Linked DNA regions of Mytilus edulis. The protein of the gene in region 2 interacts with the protein of the main gene of each other region in a pairwise test. Links are inferred from orthologs where the notes say so. Each region holds a gene or a part of one and is shown on either strand. Other genes may lie near its edges. The genes, in order: metaxin-2-like and metaxin-1-like.

What was found.
Region 1: the proteins of metaxin-1-like (region 2) and metaxin-2-like interact in a two-hybrid assay, tested with the Drosophila melanogaster proteins (2 studies listed by BioGRID). The link is inferred for Mytilus edulis from reciprocal best matches to the Drosophila melanogaster genes CG9393 and CG8004.

The regions. Positions count from the first base shown.
Region 1 is NC_092350.1:23,171,793-23,178,291, reverse strand, and holds metaxin-2-like, read right to left. Parts: upstream 1,499-6,499; 5' UTR 1,429-1,498; coding exon 643-1,428; 3' UTR 529-642; downstream 1-528.
Region 2 is NC_092347.1:61,934,223-61,941,572, forward strand, and holds the start of metaxin-1-like, read left to right. Parts: upstream 1-4,249; 5' UTR 4,250-4,294; coding exon 4,295-4,378; intron 4,379-5,724; coding exon 5,725-5,800; intron 5,801-7,219; coding exon 7,220-7,302; intron 7,303-7,350. Other genes in the region: ADP-dependent glucokinase-like, read right to left, coding at 1-13, 744-809, 1,694-1,919, 3,857-4,029. UniProt on the Drosophila melanogaster protein: Involved in transport of proteins into the mitochondrion. Essential for embryonic development.

The DNA.
Region 1 (6,499 bases), on a different chromosome or scaffold from region 2:
TCTTTTTTAAACCTTTTTTTAAATGTATGCATGTTTATTTTTAAATAAATGTATAAATAGGATGTTGTCTCTTTCAGTATTGGATTATCCAGTTATATGATAAAATTATTGATGTGTCATCAGATAATAAAGTTCTTATTTCATTTATTACACTTGCCATCAAAGTTTTTCTAAACATTGCATGAATAATAAATGTAATATTTAAAATTATTTTCTGAAGCAACAGCAATTTTTGAAACAGTTTCATAAGAAAAGAAAATGATATGTGTTATAATTTAATGTACAGGTGCTGGATATTTTGCTACATGTTGAAGACACTTAGGCTGTTTTTGCTTTTTGGTCAGATTGATGTCTGTTTGGCACATTTCCTGTTTCCATTCTCAATTTCATGTAAAATGTATTACATATGTTAAGACAATTCCAACAGTACATTAAAAACTTGATAATTTAACTGTCAGATATTGATGAAAAAAAAAATATACAATTTACATGTGTAACAAATCTATTTATGGATAAAGTAACACTCAATCAACATTTATATTTAATTTTGTATAGTGTAAAAATCTATGATTTAGATAGATCTAATACATTTTTATTTGACAAAGATTGACCTGTCACAAGAACAATGTATATCAACTGATATTAATTTTCTTGAATGTCTCTGTAAAATTTCCCCTCAATACGAGTACATAAATCTACTAAATTCCTGTAGTTTTGAATGCATCCTGTCAGTTTTGAATCGGGCAACCGAACAGTAATGAGATTATACAAATGTCCAAACACTAAAGCATCCAATTCTGTGGGCTTTTCACCAAAGAAATAAGTGTTCTTAGCTAAGCGATCAGACAGAGCCTGAAGACATGCCTTTATTTCATCAAGAACATTTTCTTTTGTCTTATCAATCCAACCACATGCATTCAATCTTGATTTCACCTCCATTTGTCTTTTCCATGGTAGAATCCAACTCAAAGGCCATGGGTGTACGGATCCATATCTTGGTCTTGTGGTTGAAGCAAATATATCTTTGTCTATCCATGACAAATACAGTTCTGCATTGTAAAGTACTGTATGGACCATAGTAATGTATGCTGTCATTTCTGATCGTTCGGTCTCATCCAAATGAGCACTTATGGACAATCCTCTCATATTTACATTTGCCACAATTGGGTCGAATTCTGCAACCAGAAACGCTCCCATCTTTAAGAATGGAACCCTTCCTGATGGAGACATTTCCTCTGCATTTGTTTTCAGTTGAAGATCAAACTTCAGGCCACTCATGCTCAGAAATGTTCGCACTGCTAGACAATTAGAATAGTCGGGAAGAGTAACTTGTTCGACCTGATATGGCTGAAAAAAGGCTACATCCGTAGGCCACTTTTCCGTTGCTCCAATTTTTAAATGCATAACATCTCCAACTAATGATGCCATGATAGTAAGTAACTTGTAGAAAAATCAGATTTTTTTTTACACAGGAAGTTGTCCTGGTGTAAGAATTTTGAAATCGGTTTGGTGTGTAAAATATCCGGAATCGGAACTAATAACTTTTTTACCTTGGACGTTCAGACAGTGCACAGACACGCGATTCGATGAAAATAAAATTATCTAAATATATGGCAAGCTGTTTTGCTATTTATTCTTACTTCAAGATATCTCATAAACTTAATATTATTATAAGATATCTTTTATATAGTTTATTAGATATCTCATATAGTTTATAAGATATCTTATATGAGTTTATAAGATATCTCGATAGTTTATCAGATATCTCGATAGTTTATAAGATATCTTATATAGTTTATAAGATATCTTATATAGTTTATAAGATATCTCATAATTTATCAGATTCTTATATAATTGTCTTGATAAGATATCTCATTATAAACTATATAAGATATCTTATTATAAACTATATAAGATATCTTATCAATTTTAGGAGATACCTTATATAATATATAAGATATCTCATAAAAATGAAATTATATAAGATATCTTATATATTATAGGATATATCTTATATATTATATTTGATATCTTTAATGTTATATAAGATATCTTATATAGTTTATCAGATATCTTATATAATTGTCTTTATAAGATATCTCATATAAAAATTGTTTATTTGATATCATATAAACTTTATTAGATATCTTATATAACATTAAAGATATCTTATATAACGTTAAAGATATCTCATATATATATATATAATATATGAGATATCTTATAAAAAAGAAACTATAAGATATCTTATATATTAAAGGAGATATATCTTATATATTATATAAGATATCTTATATATTAAAGGAGATATATTTTATATATTATATAAGATATCTTATATATTATAGGAGATATCTTGAAATTCGAATGAATAGTAAAACGGGCTTGCCATATAAATATCTTAATATTAAAGAATATATAGGTATTTGATCTTCAAAGAAAGGTGACTATGTGGAGACAGAGTGAGACAGATTCTTCGGTTTGGCCATGTTAGCTAAGCCTGATTTGCAGAGCTAATTTTAGGTATTATATATGTCTCTGGTACATTTTATAAAAGCATGGATATCATCTATGGTATAAGATTGCACAGTAAAAGATTCTACAAAATTCAATTACGAAAAATTGGGGGAAAGCATACGTAAAGGTTTGCGAAATAGTGTAAAACGGTTTGTGAATGATATGTTTTATTTTATCAAGTATTTGGAAAAGTTACTTAAAGAATAAAAATAATTATCTGCTATAAAAATAATGACACTAAGTCCGAAACTAAATAATAAATAAACAGCAGTTAAATTCTTTAATAAATCGTTTGAATTATTCAATTGAGGATTATGTATCGGGCCTTGTGTTGATTCAATGTTAAACATGTTAAGTACAAAAATCCACACTGAGCCTTTCCCCTCATACCTTCAATTTTGGAAATTTGGTGCTTGATAGAGGATAGTTACATGCAGTGCTATCAATAGTTCCCTAAAAACAAGTTTATAAATTTAGATATTGGTTAAAACAAATATAAATATGAACCAAATCAAGTACACCTTGTAGGAGCCCCCCTTTTTTCTAATAGGATGCACTCGACTTTAGATACTCTAGTTTTTCTAATTTAAAGGTTGTTTAACACTTTTTGTAAATAATAAAAGCTAGTATTACACAGAAAATCAAGTGAGTAATCAGTGTTTTAAATTCTATGACAAAAATCTTTGGATTACAGTTTGTGGATTACCTACACAAATCTTGTTTTTATTAAATGCAATGAAACAGTACATACAAATGCTTAGCACGAAAACCATGTGGTATATGTACAAAATGGCCCATCTCTATTATTCATTATCTTTAATGTTTTGATACTTTGCAGATTCTTTTCATACCTGTAGCCAGGGGGTGGTCCTAACCCCCCACCCCTCCCTTGAAAACAAATAAGCACTGTTAAAGTCAACGTTCTGTTCGAATTTTGACTGTCAAAGTCGAGTTCTTGAGTCCAAATAACCCCCTTTGAAAATTCCTGGCTACGGCCCTGCTTTTCCATCTTTTGTGATACCTCATTTAAATGAGCACTGAAGGAGTACTGCAAGAACACCCTAGTTAATCTCTGACGGATCTCAGTGGCTTTATATTGCTAAATATGGCTTTCCACAACTGCATTTGCTATATCATTTTTCATATAGGTGCTTGAGGACAGAATTCTGTTATGAGTCCCCCCCCCCTTTTCCCTTATTATAACAATTCTTAGATTTTACAATATATATCACTTATTTGTACCATATATATATATATTGATATACCATATTTTTACTCTAAATATGCATGTTAACTATCAACGTGAATCTAGACTATAGAATGAAGCTATTGTCTAGTTTCTGGTTGATAGTAAACATGCATATTAAGAGTAAACATATGGTATATCATATGCACGTTTTTTTCCCTTAAATCATGTTTACTGTTGTTGGTTTTTGAGTTATGGTTGTCCATAATTTCACAAATTCCTGTTGCATCTTTGTATATGTTAAAAAGTACAACTGATTTCTGGCTATGAACATTCTATCTCTTTTGGAGAGTTGTCTCATTGGCAATCATACCACATCTTATTCTTTATATATACGGAGCCAAAATAGATTAGCAACAAAAATGTGAAATTTTATTTTATTACAAAATCATATGAAACATATAATTTTAATAATAACAAAATGGAATTATGACATGTCAGAAGCAACATGAATGTTTATCACTCACATTCATTATGATTTTCTTTGTATGGAGTGCGGGAGGGTCAAAATGCGGAAATGAGTAGTGTTATTCAAAATCAATTTCTCAGTCATGCCCTAAGTGCACCAATGAAGGATTGGCAGGCACACCAGCAGCTGCCCCTAGTCAATGCACTACTTTTGAGCAGGAAAAAACTTGTCCCGTGTTGACGTAAAGCGAAGGTAACGCTCCTCCCTTTATGATAGTTTTTTTTTGGTCTACGAGATATCGTCCTATCCTGTGCAGTTGTAATTTGTTGATATCTGTTTTAAACTGTTGCCATATGAACATTAAATCGAGCCACGATGTCAGCAACACTCATTTTGGCATCAACCATTCCAAGAGCTTTCTGATGGTCATTTTCGTGGAGGCCTGGTTGACGCCCCATGCAATTTTTTCAAAGGTGTATGTGTTTTTCTTATCAATGGTATGTTTCTGATTGTTAGTGAAAAAGAAATTTTTAATATCGTTTAAAAAGTACAGGTACAGAAGGTAAAACGGGTCTCACTATTTAGCGACAACAAGCGTCAAGAAGTGACAACAAGCGTCAACAAGCGACAAGAAGCGACAACAAGAATTATTTTAGCGACAACAAGCGACAAGAAGACTATTTAGCGACAAGAAAACATTTTTTTTTATTTATTAGATATATAAAGAAATTTGTATTTAATGTTTTTTTTTAAATATACGAGCAGATATGTCTAATTAAAATGTTTTATTATATAGCTAGACAAAGAAATGAAACATTTGCGAGGAAGAAAGAGATTGTGAAGTTTATATTAGTATATTGGTAGATGAAGAAATTTAACATTTGTGAAGAAGAAAGAGATTGAGCTTCTTTTTTTATTTTTAAATATGAAGAATATGTATAAGATAATGTATGTATCTGTTTTAATTAAAGTCAAAGTATGAATAAACGAATGGAGATATATATGGAGCGGGCATAATGGAATATGATATTTTGATTCATTTGCTTAATACTATGCTCTAAATGTACTCTTGTTATGTCAATTCGATGCTTTATTTATAGAACTCTCAGCCACGCTTTGCCATTTTTATTATTTAAGCGTGTTTCCAGACCCCACGACAAGGACGTGGTTCTACCTTGGGGTCCATATATTTTTTTTTTAAATTTTTTTTTAATTATTTTTAGTCATTATATAGTAATATGTACATTCCTATCTAACATAATATTTATACATTTTGTACATGGTGGTCCCATTTTGATAAGCAAACATGTGGAACATCAAATGAGATTAACGAGTCGCGTGTCCCCTGTTTTATTGCTACAATAACATCCAATTAACACCTTCAACTTTGTACACGTGTCAGACTATACAATTACACGCGCCAGAATATACAATCATTGTAAATAATGATAATATCGTTTAATGAGGCAATAAACAAATAAAAAGATGAAAACATTCACATTTCAATTTTCTTTTCCTCCTGTTTGATTTCAGTTCTTTGTATTTCACAATTTGTGTCAATATTTTCAGGACAATGATGCACAAATAATTCATTTTGCGAGCTTAATATATATTGCACGAAAAGAGTTTTAAAAAACAAATTATAAGATAAATAATATGTTCTAAAACACAAGGAAAAGTAATCTCATAATACAATAATTAAACGTAATACTGGCTGTTATTCATAATAGATGATAAAATATTATGTATATAATGTTTCATTTTTTTCTATCAATTTTAACCTTCTTGTCGCTAAAATTATTTTCTTTTGCATATTCTTTTAATATTTAAGCATTAATTAATTATAATATATAAAAAAAATGTTTTCTTGTCGCTAAATAGTTTCTTGTCGCTTGTTGTCGCTAAAATAATTCTTGTTGTCGCTTCTTGTCGCTTGTTGACGCTTGTTGTCGCTAAAATTCTTGTTGTCGCTAATTAGTGAGACCGGGTAAAACGTCAATTACACGTGCAAAGCTGAAATGGCGTGAAATCAATCACCAGGAAAAAAGTACGTTTGTTTTAAATTACAGGTAAAACTGAGGATTATATCAATGATGTTTAAATATTTTTTTCGAAAAACAACAAAAAAATAAGATACAAAAAAAGTGCTGCTAAACTTTTTTGGCTCAGTATATAATTATTTCGAATAAAAGATGCTTGATGCATGCAATTTAGCCATTAAGCTTAATTTGCACATTTTTTTCATATAGATTCTATTCCAAGGGACAAAACTCTTGTTAAAACAGTTTATTTGTGCAGATCAATTTGCCTTGTCTTAAATACCTACG
Region 2 (7,350 bases):
CAATGTACTGTATCTACAAAATAATAATCAAATTTTGAAAAATCTTCTGAGTTTAGCTTTTAACACAACATTTTTGTCCATGCAAAACCCTTGTGATTCAAGTTTCATTTTGAAATTAAGCATTTAACACAACATTTTTGTCCATGCAAAACCCTTGTGATTCAAGTTTCATTTTGAAACGAAAGCATGTCTCCCTCAATTCCTTGAGGTATATTCAGAACATGACGTACATGTATACAAAATAAAGAGGACATAAAACTTATAGTTGTCGTCACTTTATCTGAACACTTGGTTTAGACATGGTAGATTATTTTGAAACAAAAGCATGTCTCCCTTAATACCTTCAAGACATGATTATAATAATTCTATGGAAGACATCATACTTATATCTGTAGTCACTGTATCCCTATCTTAGCACTTTGTAGAGACATGGTAGATATAATGTTAACCTCAAGATTTAAAAATCTAAATTAGTCACTCTGTTTTACTGTTGTTTGTCTTTTGATTGTTTTTAGTTTTTTTGCATTCTCAGTTTGCTTTTGAATAATGAGTTGGAATGTGTCGTTCCTCTCTTTTTATTGCCAACATGCCCAGTTCTTTAAAAACAAATATAACAAGCCAAATGTATAATTTATAGCATGAACTCTTGTTAATATTTAATCTGTGTTTTAAGTGACGTATTGTGTTTCATTGTTTCTGTTTTTTCTTTTTTTAAATCTTTGTTTATTTTTACATTTTTATACCTTTACATCAGGAAACATTTCTAAGATTTTTGTGGCCATTAAAGCTGCATTGCCGCCTATGTAAACCTGAAAAAGAATGGGGAAAACAACTTATATTTCACCTTAAAATCTTAAAACCAAATTAATTCTTTAGTTGGCCCAACTTTATTTGATTCTAACCAAAAGCTGTAACTAAAACATAAATGGAAAATAAACATCATACTCATTACACACCAATAAAACATGATTTCAGATTTATATTTAATATAACATGCAAAAGTAGTGATAAAGTAAGCAAATTTTTATAATCTTGTAACAGCTGATTTGGATGACTAATAGTTCTTAAAAGAAAATGAATAGTTTTCTGTAAAGAATCTGTTATCAAGATATAGGTAGTAAAAAGACTAGAAGTAATCTCCTGTACAATTAAACATTTAGATATAAGAAATAAGACAGAAAACAATAGAGAACAAAACTAAGAATGTGAATTTGTTCATTTTGTTGGAAGGGAGATAATTATCTATGTTTTCCTATTTTTCTCTAAGTATTTAATTGTACAAAAGAGACATGTAAGCAAGGGAAACATTTTTTGGCTGGTCCCCTAAATGTTAGCTGAAAATGTCCAAATAGCATATTTTAAACTCTAATTTTGTGGAAGGATGGGCCCCAACATTGAAATATCTTTTTCCTTGATATAATACACTACAATGAAATTATATATGAAAATTGTAATATATAAGAAAAGAGAATATATATGTTTAACTCTCAATATGTTTCTAACTTTCTACCTTATCATTTAATACTGATAATCATAATATTGCATTACAAGTACTACTATATGTTATATTTTATCCCTCTCCAATAATGCATTGTTACTTTTATATTACATATATGTAACCCCATCCTAGAAACAAATTGTCATCATATTATCAAACATTTTCATTAAAAAAATCACTATCCCGTTTATTTACCTGTAAATCATCTAATTTTTCCGCAGCATTTGTAATTTGCCTGAATACATCTTTATTCATAAAGCTCCTTTCTGCTGCAGCACCTTTGGAAAAGAAGTGTGAAAATGTCTGTTGAAGATGGTCTAAGCTATGTAAAGTTTCATGGTTGGTCTTGTCACCTGGCTCCATATTCAAAGATTGTAGTAACTTTGTTCCTGGTACTATGTAGTCAAGATTAGAGTTGCAGCTGAAAATATCAATATTTTATTCAAATTGATCTAAGGAGATGTGGGGGTACATGTATATATTTATAAGACTCAAACCTAACTAATATAAAAAAAATGTGGAGGGCAACAAACAGACACTAAAACTGTTGTCCATACAATTTCACCAGTTATTACTCTTCCTATTTAGTTTCAAAAGAGTACATTATTACAAAAAAATCTGAACTTTGAGTAAATTCATTCTTGAATTTAAATTATATAATAAAATTATTCCATTTCTCTACAAACAGTACTGGATCATAAAATTGAAACACAATATTTAGAATACAATACTGATGTATTCATTATTTTCTTACAAGACAATTATTTAATCCCATTCGAAAAGATTTGTATTCATGCCACTTCAATTTGACCCTTAGCTAGATATAAAATAAATGGGTTGTGTATGACTAGGTATTGAAAAATGTGGATGTTAAAAATTTCATATATTTTTGTACCAATAAACAGGTCATCATATTACAAAGCAATCTCAAACAGTCCTACACTGGTGCAAGCCTTCTAGTTAAAATATAACACATTTGTACATGTACATTTGTAGTACATACATAAATACATTGAAATCTGTCTTAAAGGGTTATTAGCTGTCAAATTTATTTTCACTGATTTGACCTGTTTTGGGGTACAAAATGAAAAATATATAAAAAATTTAACATCCACCTTTCATACATTTACCTTAAACTATTGATAATTTCACATTTATCTGTTACAAGTTCAAATAAAAATAAAGTGCTTTCTACATGTTGTACCTGAAGTTAAAATATTTGGTTGCAGAATTAAAAGGACAACCCAATCCAGCTGAAAAATGACAATTGCAGTCCATTTTTCGATTTTAATATGAACTTCAGAGGTTCATATTGAGTAAAACATGTTTCTTTGAAACATATATTTGTTACACCAATCATTCTTTGTTGAGTGGAAGTGATTTGACTTCATTGTCTTGCCAAAATGTCTGTTTTTACAAATTTCTGACAAAAGTCTAGATTTTACAGATAAGTATTATATCAGGATTTATAGTCTAACAATGTACTTCCTTGTATTACTGAACTAAATGAACCTATGAATGAATTAAGAATAATAGTAAATACCCAAAGCCTTTACCTTTAATAATTAGGAGGTAGTCTTTACCCCCATTTACATTTGGTTGTTAAAACGACTTTTTACAGTTTCCAATTTTGATCTACATGTACAAGAACTAGAAGGGCATTAAAGTTGTCATATTTTCTAAACAATACATTTTGAAACAGTTTATGGGCAATGAATTGTTAAATTGAACTTCCTGCTGTTAACAAAGTTCAGTTTGTGAAGTTCTAAAATAGGTATGGAAGGGTCATAAGGTTATACAGGAATAGTTGTTGCAATCACAACTACAGGAGAGTTTTTGGGCAAAAGGGTTAAATGATTTTTGAGGTATTACTTGCATATTTTTTAAAATTACTCTGGCTAAAATGGGAAAATAAATCTTGAATGTTGGGTATAGAGATATAAATGCTTTGAAATATTTAGCTGTATTAGTATCAAATAACCTTCTGATGTCAGGCAACCTCTTTTTAATTATAATGTAAAATATTTAAAATTATGACAATAGACCTGCTACAAATGCATATGTCAATCAAAATAAAAGGAAACATTGTATAATTGGTTCTTACTGTGATACATGAACATTGAGAAATATAAAATAAAGGACAAATGCACCACTTTGAGAGTCGATGTAAATTTTATGACAAGCTATAGTGAGAGCTCACAGTGTGCTTACATTTTTTATTTTAAAAAATTCACAAAAATTGGCCAGCGTTCATGACTGTCATATCATAGCATACATGCACTAAGAAGTATTTTCTGCTGGTTTAACATATGATTTGTCAGATAATGTAATCTTTGTGTAAACTAATGATTTCCTTACCCAACAACAAGTCTTTGGAATTTTTTCGTTGGTGGCTTTATGATTTTTTGCCAGGCGATGACAATTCTTGTTTCTGTTGGATTGACTACTTCTACCACTGTTGGGAACCATTTTGAATATAAAACAGCAAGAAAAATAACCACTAGAGCTACAGATAAAGTTTTGGGAAACATGATGCCAACTCAACATTCACTAACCGGTGCCCAACAACACCCCGCCGGAAAATAGAACACTAAAAGATAATCCGCTGGGAAATCGTATCTTGCCAATATTTAATACCATTTTTCATGAACTTTAAATCTCATTTTACAAGAAAATGACAAAAGAATTAAGATTTATTATAGTTCTAGAAAAATATGGATTGAGTTTTAATCTGAAAGTAGAAAAATTAACAAAAACTATTCACTTCCGGTAAAATTATTCCGCATAATTGTAAACATGACAGACGACGTGCTTAACCTTGAAGTTTGGAAAGGAAACTGGGATTTGCCATCAGTTGACAATGAATGTCTTACAGTTTGGGTAAGCAATTAGTTAATTTCTCCCCCTTCTATTTAACAACTTTGAAATAAGTCGATACACACCCTTGTAGTATTTGTTTATTGAACACAGTGCAGATTTGCAACTTTCTTGAACACATGTGTTTCACTGCGATACGGTTTCACTGACACTATGAAGCTACACTTCACTTAACATAGAAAATGAATTCGCTCTATATTAGCTGGCAAAGCTTCATGACTTCTTTATGTAAGTTTGTAGAGCAGTGGCAAATGTGCATATAAGGCACCAAATGAGGTTTTTAGTAGGATCGCATTTACAATGCATTGTCAACTGGGAATCCGGGTCTGTTCGCGCCCAATCACTTTCGCACCCAATCACTTTCGCACCCATTCACATTCGCCCCCTTTCACTTTCGCACCCCACATATTCGCACCCAAATTTTTAGAAAAAAACACAATCATACATCAGTCATATACACATATACAACAAAACATGAATATTCAAGTAACTATAACACAAGTTAATCAAAGTTTAAAAGTCTACTGTTGCGGAACATCTTCAGTTGGTTAGTCTAAACGCCCATACAGTCTGGAGATCACCTTAATGAAGTGTGTAGTTGACATTGCTATATCCATGTAAGAATCCCACAAGGTCTGTATCTTCTGTTCTAGTACATGTACTGTGTAGCGGCGGTGAACATTTCGCTCTAAGTCGACGGAACGCACACTGACATCAACAACCTCAGCTTCTTTCATCAAGTCGGAGACATTAACATTAACATTTAATAATTAATCATCAAATTAATAAAAAAAGATTCTATTCAATAATTTCTCAAATTTTATTCAAATAGAATACATTTATCATGTTTATTTGTTATATTCATATAAAAAATATCTAATAATTTAACTAAAATTTTAATACAAATTGGGCGTGAACGTGTAGGGTGCGAACGGACTTGGGTGGGGGGGCGAAAATGTGAGGTGTGAACGTGTAGGGTGCGAAAGTGTATTGGGCGCGAACAGACCTGATACCATCAACTGGTACAGTGGTACAAATGTACTAAGTTGTGGGTTCCATGATGTACGTTCCAGACCAAGTCATAATTTACAGCCCCAAATATCTTAGGCAGATGCAGCCCCTATTAGGAATGATAAACATGCAGGTTGCTGTTCATTATACTTAGTATTCATATAATTGTGAATGAGTTTTGATATATATGTATGTAATAAAAATTACCGGTAAATGAATGAATGAATACTTTATTTGCAAGAAGCATATATACATACTATGGCAAATGTAAATATAAATGAATGTATTCTGAGTTTCATTAATTCATCAGTAAATAATGCCTTTCTGTTTATTTGCAGGCATATTGTAAATTTTCTGGTCTTCCAACTAAAGTACAGAAAAGTCACCAGACAAATTTATTTCAGTCATCACTAGGTTTGTATTAAGTTAACAATTATACATAGTATTTGTACAAAGATGATATGAGTTACGATGTAGTTAATGTGACTTTATTGAAATCTGTATATTTTGGATCACAATCAAAGTACATGACATATTTTTTCTGTCTTTTAAAATTACTATGTGTTTTTTTTTGTGTATTTTATGATCGGGTTTGGAAAGAAGATTTTTTTTTCTTCATTATTTTTCTGATTGCATTCTATCAATTTTATGCAAAATCTTTGTAAGCATTTCAGGCTCCTTAATTGTTTGTTATTGTTTCAGAGGAGATATATATCAAGCAAAGGGCAAACCTAAACATGATCTTGACCTCAATTTCAAGATATGTACCAAAAAATATAAAATAAAAAATTCTATGTCTAAATGACAAATGGTTTATGTTATATGGTCCGAGACCACAATTGTCGTCCCTTGTTTTTCGTTGTTCACGAATATAGTCCCTAGTGTTGACAGTGGGTTACTTGCCATTAATTTTTATACCCCTTCCAAATTTTATTTCTCCATATTTATTGCCTCAAATTGCAAGTATGGGGGTGAAATTACACTGTAAAAACATTTGGGTCCAGAATTTTAAAGGAAAGTAGTGATTTGGTCCAGCTGAAAAAGGTTGAAAATTAGCACTTCGGAAGCTGTCAAAAGATTTCAAGACGCCCTAAACATAAAATTGTCCATATTTTGAGTTAGAGCCGATGAAGTTTTCTATAATTTTGATATAATTTGTCCCAAAAGTAGTACAACACACTGTAAAAGTTTCTTTGAGAAAGCGCAGGTGGGATTTTTTTAATTTTCATTTATGTTCTAAAAGAAATGCACTACGAAATAATTGTGTTCTCGGACCATATCAATAATGAACATACCGTATTTAGCGTAGAAGGGGAGATAACAACTGTAAGAAGTCAAATTTGATCAAATTAATGATTTCAACAATAAAAAAAAGTTGTTTATATATTAAAGTTTTAAAAGGGAGATGCAATAACATGAAAAGCATTGTTCTTGGGGATGTTTAGAAAAAAGGTTCTGTTCTATGGTCATTGTCGAAAATATATAATATAATTTAGTTTACAATTTATGAAAAAATACATTACCTGGAATCAGGAATTATATACAATGTAATCAACAGTCTCATAAAGAAATACACAATATGATAAATGTATCATTTTTTGTACATTTAGATAAATTAACCACACATTTTAAATTTCCAAGTACATTCATATAATTGGAATCAGAAATTTTATGATTTACTTTCTCACAAAGCAATACATGATATATAAATGTTCAGAATTTTTTTATTTAATTGATTGTTTCTTGATCAAAAGAGCATATTGTTATTTAGATAATTGATGTGTTCAGATGACAATATACATGTACAGCTTCATATGTGTATTTTTTTTCCAGCAAAACACAACCTACCAGTACTACAACATGGATCGGCAACAGAATCTCAATTAGGCAATATTTTATCCTACTTAAAAAATCAGGTAAAGGAAAATCTTATAGTGAATGCTATTTACAACAAAGGTACTCAT